Bombyx mori: one gene and its partners. The protein of the gene in region 1 interacts with the protein of each later gene in a biochemical or structural test. Links are inferred from orthologs where the notes say so. Each region holds a gene or a part of one and is shown on either strand. Other genes may lie near its edges.

The links. The genes of interacting proteins can lie anywhere in the genome.
Region 2: the proteins of DNA replication licensing factor MCM4 (region 1) and uncharacterized protein LOC100286771 form a complex in vitro, tested with the Homo sapiens proteins (2 studies listed by BioGRID). The link is inferred for Bombyx mori from reciprocal best matches to the Homo sapiens genes MCM4 and MCMBP.
Region 3: of the proteins of DNA replication licensing factor MCM4 (region 1) and cell division cycle 7-related protein kinase, one has a biochemical effect on the other in vitro, tested with the Homo sapiens proteins (2 studies listed by BioGRID). The link is inferred for Bombyx mori from reciprocal best matches to the Homo sapiens genes MCM4 and CDC7.

What each region holds. Positions count from the first base shown.
Region 1 is NC_085125.1:2,572,689-2,576,291, forward strand, and holds part of DNA replication licensing factor MCM4, read left to right. Parts: intron 1-1,014; coding exon 1,015-1,138; intron 1,139-2,247; coding exon 2,248-2,354; intron 2,355-3,179; coding exon 3,180-3,314; intron 3,315-3,603. UniProt on the Homo sapiens protein: Acts as a component of the MCM2-7 complex (MCM complex) which is the replicative helicase essential for 'once per cell cycle' DNA replication initiation and elongation in eukaryotic cells.
Region 2 is NC_085117.1:15,219,526-15,223,720, reverse strand, and holds the start of uncharacterized protein LOC100286771, read right to left. Parts: upstream 2,813-4,195; 5' UTR 2,456-2,812; coding exon 2,348-2,455; intron 2,276-2,347; coding exon 2,093-2,275; intron 1,170-2,092; coding exon 813-1,169; intron 714-812; coding exon 467-713; intron 1-466. UniProt on the Homo sapiens protein: Associated component of the MCM complex that acts as a regulator of DNA replication.
Region 3 is NC_085121.1:308,929-313,275, forward strand, and holds the start of cell division cycle 7-related protein kinase, read right to left. Parts: upstream 2,813-4,347; 5' UTR 2,383-2,812; coding exon 2,283-2,382; intron 1,303-2,282; coding exon 1,077-1,302; intron 655-1,076; coding exon 561-654; intron 1-560. UniProt on the Homo sapiens protein: Kinase involved in initiation of DNA replication. Phosphorylates critical substrates that regulate the G1/S phase transition and initiation of DNA replication, such as MCM proteins and CLASPIN.

The DNA of each region.
Region 1 (3,603 bases):
AAATTTATGAAAAAAATTCCTCTCTGAAAAAAATTGACTAACATTTAAGTCATAACTATTATATTATTGTATCTTGGTGAGATGTTCTAGAGATTGTTATTCTCTTTCTACTCAGCATCTATCAACAGCTGGGTTTTAATCACCTTACTTACACACCGAGCACACTGACAGTACTGTTTGTTCACCCACTTTGTCGTATTTAAATAATAACTTGGATAGTTTTATAGAATTTATTAAACGTAACTTTTTAGAGACAAACAATCTGTTTAAATTTTGCAGCAGTAATGGAGGGAAAAATGCAATGACACAGATTATACCTATAAAATAGATTAACCAACTCAACAGTACTCTCTCTAACAATGTTTAATATACCTTGAGCTATTATAGTAGTTACACACATCTAACCCAATAGGAATAGACCATCAGCATCAAGCTCATTCTTACTATAACTCTAACGGTGAAGTATACTGCGGCAATACAGTGTGCTTAGTGCGAGTTTTTGGAACGAAGTTCCTTATCGCGCGTTGTGAAAGGGGGCTAGACGGAAAAAATTCTTACGAAAAGTTGTCACGACACTTTTTAGATCCGTCATTCTGACCAATCAACGTGTAGGCGCTTATCGCATGACATTGCTCGTATCCGATTGGTCCGCGTAATGAGTACAGTTTCTCGAGATAGCGTTTCAACAATAGTAATTTAGTTCATAGTATTGTTTTTTTCTTCTTCATAATGCCGTAATTTATTATTATAACTTAAAAAAAAATTACAATTCCTTCACTAATTAATCGAAAGGAACTTCGTTCCATCCGGGTGTCCCTTGACACCTCTGAAGTTTTTTTTTAACATTATTGATAGCGTAAAAGTTAACCTAAATATTGCATGGAATGGGATCGTTTGCCTACGTTTGCCGCTAGGGGCGCTGTTCCAACTACATACAAAAATGGCTTAACTTTTACGCTATCGAGAACGTTAAGAAACTCGCACTAAGCACACTGGTTTCATGTATAATTTCAGGTTCGACTTAATATTCCTCGTGCTGGATCCACAAGACGAAGTGTTCGACAGACGTCTGGCCTCGCACCTGGTGTCCCTGTACTACAAAGACCCGAACGATCCTCAAGATGACGAGGATGCTATTGTTAGTAAATCATGAAACTAAACTACTAAGCATATAAATTTGATTTATCTTTGTCTGCAATTTGTAACACATACAAAATGGACAATATTTTTTTTTATATTTTTTTTAAACCGCACTACTGTATAATTTGTTACAAGTTTTTTTTTAAGTTCTTTAGGCGCGTTATGAAAAATTGATGAGAGTGAAATTTTACGATGCTCACGCACCGTGACACAAAATTAACAAAATGAAGTTGCCCACTAAATCGTCATTACAATACGGCCGACGTAACTTGGCGAGTCTGAATATAGCCGCAGGTGAACTTTCCGAACCGTACCGAGAATTACCGAATTTATACGATGCCAAGAAAAGGGATGTCCAATATGCGTGTTTGAGGATGTTGTTTAATCGATTTTTTTTTCAAATTGATTAAAATTGAAATAAAAAAAAAAAATAGAAATAAAATATAACTTCTTACGCGCGTACATAAGTACACACACCCTTTTTTATGTTTATATAAGATTACTCACCTAGTGAATATGCCACTCCATTGTGCAACAAAAGAGAGAAACAAAATAATTATATAACAAAAAATAAAGGAAACTGTTATCGTCTCTGAAGGCCCACCAAAACTATTTTGTAAAGTGACTTAGCCATTTCTGATTCCGGAAAAGGTTTTTACGTAATTTATACCTCCAACTTGTCGACAATTTGTATATTTTGCAAATAATTGTTGTCTCAAATCATCATTCTGCACACACTCCATCATAATGTGAAAAGCATCTTCCACTACATCGCAAACTGAACACTCGGGATCAGGAGTCTTCCCCATTAAATGAGCAAATTTATTGAGTGGGATGTGCCCGGGACGAAGTCTGAAAACAGTCATTAGTTCTATTAAGGTTACAAGAATCAAACTACGGAGTTTTCCACGGTAGACTTTGAATTGTTTAGTACCACACACCTTTTTCCAAAGACCTTTCATCGAAATATACCTTCCATAGACGATAACATTCCTCACTTACTAAGTTTCATAATTTTTTGATGTCCAAGGACTTCATAAACAAGTCCAATACTAAAAAAGCATAAGATCTTGGAGTTTCCAGGTGTAAGTGTGTGTTATTGAACAGGATATAAGTCTGATGCGGGACTACATAGCCTTCGCGAAGGAGCACGTGCAGCCCACGCTCAGCGAGACGGCGCAGCAGCGGCTCATAGACGCCTACGTCGACATGAGGTTCGCTCTTCTATTATACTTAGATCAACTGTAATCATCAATAAAAGAGACTCGATATTATTCTATATATTACAACACGTGAATCAAAAACGGTATCCCTTTTTACGAATATTGCGCGGACAGAGAGGACTATGTAATTTTCCATACTTATAGAGAATATAGAGGAGCGCAGAATGCAGTTTTTTTTAAATTATACATAAAATCATTAACAAAAACATTACACATTTACCATGTATTTGACACACACACCCACCCATATATACTCTTTTGTTTATTGTTAAAGTCTGTGATCAAATTAACAATAGATTAATATTGTTTATCTTTAATATTATTTGTCTATAGTGTAGCCTTGGCAAAAATTATGATTACAGAAGTAAAGTCTTGAACAATAGAAGCTTAATAATGTTCAAACTTATAATTTCAATTAATTATGGTCGAATTTCGAACGCTAACCGTCCACTAGTACATCTTAAATTGCCTTTGTAAAAGAACTATATACAATAAAAGATCACTATTTGCGGAGCACAAACACGGAGTATGCCGTGAATACAGAAACCGTGAATATAGAATGGTGCTCTATGGTAATCTACATAATATGAAAAGGATTATAGGGGATACGTTCTTAGGTGACAAAATAAAACATACTTTAGCCGTAGTTGTAATAAGGTATATTTTAATTTTATTATTAGTCCACTTAAAGGCACATTTATAGAGGATATTCGGTTGGATACTTACCTTTTGTCAATTAAAGAAAACGCGAATAAGGAGTTTTTATTGTACTTCTTTCTCGTTTCCATAATTAAACTGTTTTTATATATGTAACAGGCGTGTGGGCAGCGGCCGAGGTCAGATATCGGCGTATCCGAGGCAGCTCGAATCTCTCATCAGGTTGGCGGAAGCGCACGCCAGGGTTCGACTTTCTTCCGTTGTTGAACTGATAGACGTAGACGAAGCGGCGAGGTAATTTAGCATAATATATATTAAACGTCGGTTTAGTAGACAAATCTAATGTAATCCAGGATTATAAAACTTTTTACTGGTGGTGGGACGTCTTGTGAGTTCACACGGGTAGTTACCAACACCCTGCCTGCGTCTGCCGTGAAGCAATAATGCGTTTCGGTTTGAATGGCGGGGTAGCCATTGTAATCTAAAAACGAAGACCTTAGAACTCATGTCTGAAGGGGGACATTTACATTGTGGGCCGTGAGCTCCTCGACCCATCCAAGCAATAAAACGTAACGACTATGAT
Region 2 (4,195 bases), on another chromosome or scaffold:
TCAATACTGAAAGATAGAAGTCACTTTTATGTTAAGTCAATTACACATGAGATTGAAACTTTAAAACGCTCTCCTGTAAGCCATCATTTTTGACATGACCCTTTGTATGTAGGAGCAGTCGATTTATGGCTATGAGTTTTTACTTTTTGGGTGTGATAGATACTATGGCTGGTCGGATACTTCCATTCATATTCTAAACTTTAGATAAATTTTATTAGTACTAATGGTAGATTACTAGGTTTTTCAAGACTGCATTGATATGGATGGTGATAACCATTTTGATTATTGTCTACCAAAAAGTAGTAATGACATCAAGGTTGAAGGGTGTGACAGCTACAACAAAATACAAATAAGGCTGAGTGTTAGCAATCACATTGTAGTCCATGAGCTCCAGTAACCACTTAACACAAAGTAGACAGTGATTTTGTACGAGCAAAAAAAATATGCAATTCAATTAGCTAGATACCTTGATCAACACTATTTGAAAGTAATGGATTGCAATGTTCCAATTTTTGTACATGAACAGCATGCAATCGTGGTACTAAGCTTGGTGGAGGATTATGAGTTATAATTTCGACACTACTCTCAATCTGGAGCTCTATCATAGAATCCTTATCTTCCTTGAATTCGCCTGATAGGGATGGATCTACAGAAAGAAATCCAATGACTTCTATCATGTCATTGAGCTTGAGATTTTCATTGTCACTGTAAATCTGAAAACAATTTATTATTTAGTTTCATAACCAAAGCTTTTCATTTATTAACTACTACTGCTATGTGGATGGAAACAATATTATTGGATTTTCTTATACCTTAACAATGCAAGATTTGCTAGGTACATCAGGTAGAGGATAATTTAACAAATGTTCTCTTGAAACCACATCAGGTGTATTATCTTTGTGATCTAAAATCTTCATTTCCTTATTCACAGCTTCATTATCAACTTCCATTTCATCCAAATTATCTTCTGTATCATCGTAGCTTCTTTTTAACTTTGTACTTGGGTGAAGCCTTTTGGAAGTATTTGGTGGTTCTTCTAAATGTTTCAAATAGTTTTGTTTATCTTCTAGTTGTTGGACCCAGTCATTTAACCCAGGTATAGACACAACAACTAAAGTCTGTCGCTGACCACTGATTAGGTTCTCAGAATAGTTAATTTTCTCATTTTCCTGAAACATTTTATATTGATTTAATTTACTATAATAATGAATGTTGTAAATAAATTCTGCCCTTTATAAGAGGGGAAAGGAAGATTTTCTTGTAAATGCACATGAAGCCCAATTAATAGATTTCATTTCATATCATAACATAATGTTTGTCAAACATTAACAGAAATATCAACATGTTATATTTTTGTTTAAAAGTACATGCACACAATTTATATAGTGATTTTAGTCAACGTTTATTTTTAATATTTTTTATACGCACACTTAGCTATATCTTAAGCATTTAGGTATATTAAGCATATGGTTGCATGAACAGCTTTGATCTTAGTAATTCTTCCATTTTGGTTTTATTTTTAATGCTTTACATAAAAAGGATCTTACAAGCACTATCTCAGTTCTTCCAGGAAGTTAATATTAGAAATATTACAAACTTAATAACTTAGTTAATAGTTAGTTAAAAGTTAATAATACTTTTTAGCACTAAATGGGAATGAGGTGTAAGCTCCTGACATTGTATTGTCAATCAGCAACTATCTTGTTTCATCAGTTCCTCTGAGAAGTGTGGCTTATTTTGGAATTAGTGGTAGATATTTAAATAATTAAATTGATTATTTTAACTGATCCTGAAACTAGCTTTAGAGATGCCAATAATTCATGGTGATAGTCTATCATGCATATGTCTGTTGCGAAGAGGCTCTTGCTCTAGGAGAAAGTTGTGACTTTGACCGTACATATTCAACAAGTGAAAAAGTTAATTTGAATGGGCAGCATTTCAGTAGTAAATTTAAAAAAATCATTATAATTAACAATTTTTGTGGTTTCATTCTCTTTCTTCCTGTATCCAAGTATTCGGATTTTCGGAAACAATGACAGGGAATATTCGCGGTGTATATTTTTTTGCAGACTTCTTAATGTTCGGTCCTTACCAAAACATGTGCAGTATCTCTGTATTTTCCACTTTTAACCTTTACTTCATTTGTTGTTGTGTTAAATACTTCAAATTTCTCAAAGTAAAATTCAGGGTTGTGCATGTCTTGGATCATGCCTCTGAACCGCACTAAGTTTCCGTCTGTTAAATTATGTGAAGCATTTGAATTAATTAGTGGGATCTGTAAGGTCAAATAAAGGACAAGTTAATAAATTTTACAAAAATGATTTCTGTTTTATGATAAATTCCGTACCTGGTACCAATTTGGTAATTTCATCAACTTGCTCTTCATTATTTTTTCATTCTCAATCCATCGATCCGGCGTCGTTGTTTCGATATCGCTCATGATATTTTCATGCATGATTAGAAAATTTATTCATTAATACTATTATCGTGTGTTATGTTTTGGTTGTTATACAATAAACTGAATCAGAATTTATTAAAGTTCAGTCTCATCAATGATACCGCACCGTATTGCACTTCTTTTTTTGTGGTTTTTGTTAACTTTACTTTACTCTTTGAAACATACTGAATTTTATTAATTAGTGAAAAATCTATGTTAAGGGTTTTGAGTTGTACGATATTGAACATGTATGTATTACTTAGATATTGTAATAACTTTGTTATTTAATGTACGGTACGGTACGATAATGAAAGTGAAAATTTTGAAATTATGCAAATTTTTTACAGAGAATCACTTGGTTTATTTATTATCTATGACTTGGTAAAATACCTACTCGACGTTTTGGCGGGAACGCTAGGAGTGAAGTTGTGTGATTTGTTTTATTTTGTATATTTAGTGTTTCTTCAGGTTTAAATGTGGAATAACGGTGGTTTATTAACTGTTTAATATCTGCAAAAGTGCACAAGGGTGGGAAAATGAAATAAAGCCGCTGGACGTAACTTCTCGGGATCCTCCAAAAAGTCCGCTGAAAAAATCTCAGTAAATGACCACTATTTTACTGAGATTATATTTCATCCCATATCATCTCGTTTCATTTAATTTCATTCCAGTTGATTAATCTCCCAAATTAATCATTTTCATTTACTTGACTTAAAGATCTTAGTTACCAGGTCATAAAACTCCATAAATAATACCTACTCTCCATAGATAATACCTTAGATATTTTTTTTTGTACAAATTTTCCTTATTTGGAAAGGCAAGGGGATCTAAGCCCATACAGCCTATATACCATAGATACTTGATAAGTATTGGAAGACTCTCGGTACAGGTAGACAGTAAATGTAGATCTTTGATTATTTTAATTTAATTAAAAACAGTGCTACAATACTTTAACGTTCTCACAAACTCTAGCTCTCAATGCTAAAATACTAGCCCATTCCCAATCTCTGTGGGTATACACCAAGGCTCGGCTCTGAGTACTTTTTTGTTCAGTGTACTACTAGACTAACTAGACGACGGAACCGACGGAACGATAAAGATAGATGACGAACTTGTCGTAAAGACAAGTAAATTCAAGTACTTAGAGTTTGTGTTTCACGAGTTCGAGTAACGAGCGTCCTGTGCAACCGCAGGGTTCCGGTAAAGCTAAAAGGCTTCGTGTACAAGTACATCATTCGACCAGTCCTATTCTATGGCAGCGAATCATGGCCGGCCTTCGTAAGACATGTTTCGAAACTGCACGTTACTGTAATGAAGCTGCTGCGGTTGATGTGTGGCGTTACACGACTAGATCACATTCCTAACGACTACATCAACGGCAGCGTTGGAGTTCATAACGTAGCAGATGAGCTGCACGAAATTCATCTACGATAGTACGGCCATATAAACCATAGGACCCCAGACTACGTCGGAAATAGATACCTCAACTTCTATGTACCAGGTTCAAGATCCCGCGGTAGGCCCAAGAAATGCTGGTTGGATGTGGCAAAAGCAGATTGGAGGAGAATAACCTCGCCCAGAAGGATGTCCAAGGCCGACCAAAGTGGAGAAGTTTAAGTAGGAAAGCGAACCCTGACACTAGACCGGGAAAACGCTAGGAAAAGAAGAAAAAGTGCACACCAGATGGGGCATTTTCTATAGTAGCGTAGTTTAGTTAGTGCTTCTTCAAGTTTAACAATCAACCTGGACAAATAATAA
Region 3 (4,347 bases), on another chromosome or scaffold:
TATTCGAAACAAACAAACAAACAAATCTTTCCTCTTTATAATATTAGTATAGATTTTCAGTACATGGTCGCACAACAGTTTTGGACTGTAAGGTGTGAAAGAGTTTTAATGTTTTGTAAAACTGTTTTCAACACAAAATCAAAGTTAATGAATTTATTTAATTTATTGTATTGTATATTGATCTGCCATTATCCTGGTCATTAAAAATCAAATCACCAACATCATCATTAATCAATTATCAAAAAAAAATATTCTACTCTTAAGCTTGTTTGCTTTTAGTACTTTGCATTGTGTAAAATATTAACTTTATATGATATTTTCTGAAATGAAAATAATTTCATTAAAAAACTAACTATTGTCATGGCAGTTTTGACACAATTAATGATTTTCTGTCTAATACTTTATGAAACTGAATGTTCATTAACACATATTATCTTTCCATAAGACTAATTTAGATTCAACTGAAACTTTGAGTATTATTTTTCCAACAGATAAGTAAATGTTCCATGATGCTATTAATGTTTGAAATATTGTTTATATAGATTGACTGACATACTCACAGAAAACTTTTTATGAGGTAGATAGGGCATTACAAATACAATAGTGTCGAGATTACGAAGACAGAGCTCCACTCCAATCACATGATGTTTGCCTCTGTAATATAACACACGTAAAATGTTCAATTAAATTAATGGATAAATACCTCTACACAAGCTAGACATTCAAACACACATTAACTCATGTGCCAATGTGGTACTATTCAGTTAATGATGGTCTTGTTACTCATAGCATATAGATATAAATTCAACAAGATTTAGGATTACGACTTAATAACCTCATCTGTAACAACAAATGATGATGTTCACACATAATGACGTGCCCTTGTGTAGATTTGACCTTGATCCATGAATGGCAGATTCCTGTGTCATTTTTAGATGAGCAGATGGCAACAACATCCCATGGGGTGATAAGTAATTACGTAGATTGTACTTTAAAATAAATTCTAGTCAAATAAATATATGGGACATAATGCCTGTGTATATTAGTAATGATGCAGATTCATTTTTAAAACATACCCTATGTCCTGTAGACACCTTAACTCGTGTTCAATCCGAGCTGGATGTGCAGTAGGTACCAAGTGTTTTATGGCAAACCAACGCTTGTCTTTGTCTAGCAAAGATGAATGCTGTCTCAGTGAGCCTAAATACACTGAACTAAATGTTCCTTCTCCTATCTTTCGGTGCACTTCAAAAATCTTGTCCAGTTTTGGTAGCTTATATAAAAGTTCACATATTTGTTCACCTAGAGATAAATACAATAATTATTTTAAATTATTAATGTACTTATTTATTGGATGTCTATGTGTTTAATGACACAGTTTTGTCTTCACTGTGTAATCGGGTGAACAATCTCATGTAGTATCTGATGTTAGGTGGTTACCAGAGCATATAAAAATCACAATGTGAATGCTGCCAATCACCATAAGACTTGAAAACAACTGTCTCAGTTGTACTAACTATTGTATAAGTTACATTTTTGTGTGTTTGATTCTTATTCACTAAGTTATGGCGGAAGTCATTCAGGAACATGTATTAAGTTGTGTGTATTTTATAAGAAAAAATTATACCTGTCTACTTCATTTCACCACAGGTATTATGGTGGTTATATAACAGATATAATAAAATAATTAGGTTCAATCTATTGAGAGATGGTTCTTCTCATAATAAGTGTAATATTAAGGCTAATACATAAGGTAATACTTTGATTGACATTCACGATGCTTATGAAAGTAATATGATCTATCTTCTATTTACAAATCGTTATATTTCTGTCTTTTTAAAAACGACTTCAAAAGGGGAGGAGATATACATTTTTTTTACTTTTCTTAGAACTTTTTTTAGGATATTTTAATGATTCTTTTTTATTTGAAGAGCGATGGTTCTCATGTGCTCCTATTTAAAGTTTATTGAGATCTGACCAGTAGTTTTTGAACTATGTATCCATAAGTGATGCAAATTTAATTGACTTCAACTAATTGAATTGTTTTGTACATATGTAATTAATAATAAATAACAGTAAACAAGTCATGCACGATCATCCGGCCCCAAATCAGGATTCCGTGATATGGGTACACGTTTGCCCGGGAGTCAAACCCACGAGCCCTGGTACAATAGTCTAGGGCGCTAACTACTGCACCACCAGGTCAGTCAAAGTACGTTAATACGATTTTTAATTTACTTTTTTTAAAATAATTATTCTTATTATTTTTTATCTAAACTTACGTTCAGAAGAATCAGAAGTCTCATTTTCATTTTTATTTTCTTTGAGCTTTTTATGAGAACGTAACCCTTCTCTTATTTCAAATCCCCTAGATCTGGACATATTGGTTTAATTTATGAGTAGTTATATTTCCTCATATGGGTTGTTTTGCTGAATATTGTAAATTATAAAATAAATAACACGGGAACGGAGAAACAAGAAACACAAAACAATTGAAATTTCTTAGTTTTCGAATACAAGAAAGCGAAGAAATCACATTGTACAGCCGTGACTCTTAATTTTATTTTCATGACATAAATTATCGAATATAAAAAAAGGCCTTATCTGTTACACGAATATTAAAACACAAGTGAATGAAGAGAACGAATATCCTAAAATGGATTATGGAATATCATGATGACGGAGTGGTTGTGGCCTATTTTTTTTTTTTTTTCTCCTACCTAAGCTGAGAGCCTTGAGAGGCTATGTCAGCGTAACCCTAACTTTAGTAGGTGAGCTCACGGGGCTCAAACCTGACGATGTTGCTAACACGAACCCTAGCAAGAGTCGTGCTTCGCAGAATCTACCACCGGATCGGAAACGCGACCCACTGAGAAGATCCGGCGAGAAACTCAGTGGGCTGTGTCTGAGAGTTAATTTGCTCGTCGAGCCCTTCGACGCAAGCGTCGGGTTCGACGAGAACGGTGACCGGTGCTTGAAGTACCTAAAAGCACCGTTAGTGGATCGGGAGGATCCGAGATGACGTGTTTTGGGCGACGTCGACTGCTTTCCATTCTGTCCGCAGGATCGGGAATGGGTTGTGGCCTAAATGATGCCCGATGCATTTATGTCGAACGATACGATAATACCAATATTCGAGTCCAGCAGACAGCAATTATTTTTTCTAGTGAAATACGTATCTACTTAAAACATATTCATGAATAACTTTCACGATGTTGCGAATAAACCAGATTCGGATGCGTCGTCTACGCCGCTACACCTAGATGAAACCCGAAATACAAAGTGGGAAAGTTATTTAGAAGGACTCGCACCTTTTCATCAAGCATATTGGCGACTAGCTAGGCGACCCTCCAATTGGAAACTATCGCCACTACGCATCTTTTCGTATGGGCCTCAGGCCAACTAGCAGATATACTGCAAGAGCAATGCTCCACCAGTGCTCAAACTGCTAATCCCGAACAGACGGAGTTGGTCGACAGGAAGCGACAAACGTCAGCCGGAGTCCTACAAGGCTCCGTTCTCTCACTACTACTTTTTAGCTTACAGTTGACTCTTTTCGCTAATGATACGCCTATCAAGTACTTGAAGTGTTGTAAAATTAAACCACCCGCACAGTTTAAAACACTATCAGTTTATTGTCAAAGAACAGTGTGCTTAGTGAGAGTTTTTTAACGTTTTCGATAGCGTAAAAGTTAACCCAATTTTGTCTACTTGGAACAGTGCCCCTAGCGGCAAACGTACTCAAACGATCCTATTCCATACAAATATAAGCTAACTTTTACACCATCCAGAACGTTAAAAAACTCTCACTAAGCACACAGAAAGAACACACACAAAGAAGGAGAAGAGAGTGAAGTTATGAGAAACATTTGTCCATTCAACACACAATTAATTATTAAAATTTAAATCTAGTTTTACATCTTACAATGTATGTAATAATTACAATATAATGTTACAAGTAATTTTTAACATGCTACATACTCGAGCAGGAAAATGTCGTTCATGCATTATAAACTAAAGATCGCGGCCACCACTTTAGGACAGTGGTTCCGGAAGTGGCATGCGCGTCGACATTAACCCCACGAAAATCACAGCCGTACTGTTACGGTGTGGATCCTTTAAAAAAAAGGAAGCTGTGGCTGGCACTGAGTTTATTTTCTAAAAAAAATAGTAAATAGTACAAACGATGTGTGTTTCCGCTACTCATGCCAAATCTGTTCTGCCGCGCTTTAGCCACAAATCGTCTTTATATGAAACGATGCACCTTAGTCTGCATTATTATTTATATTGCGTTATTATTGAGGAACATATGTAACAGTACTCTTCAAAAGAGTTCGCCCTCACGAT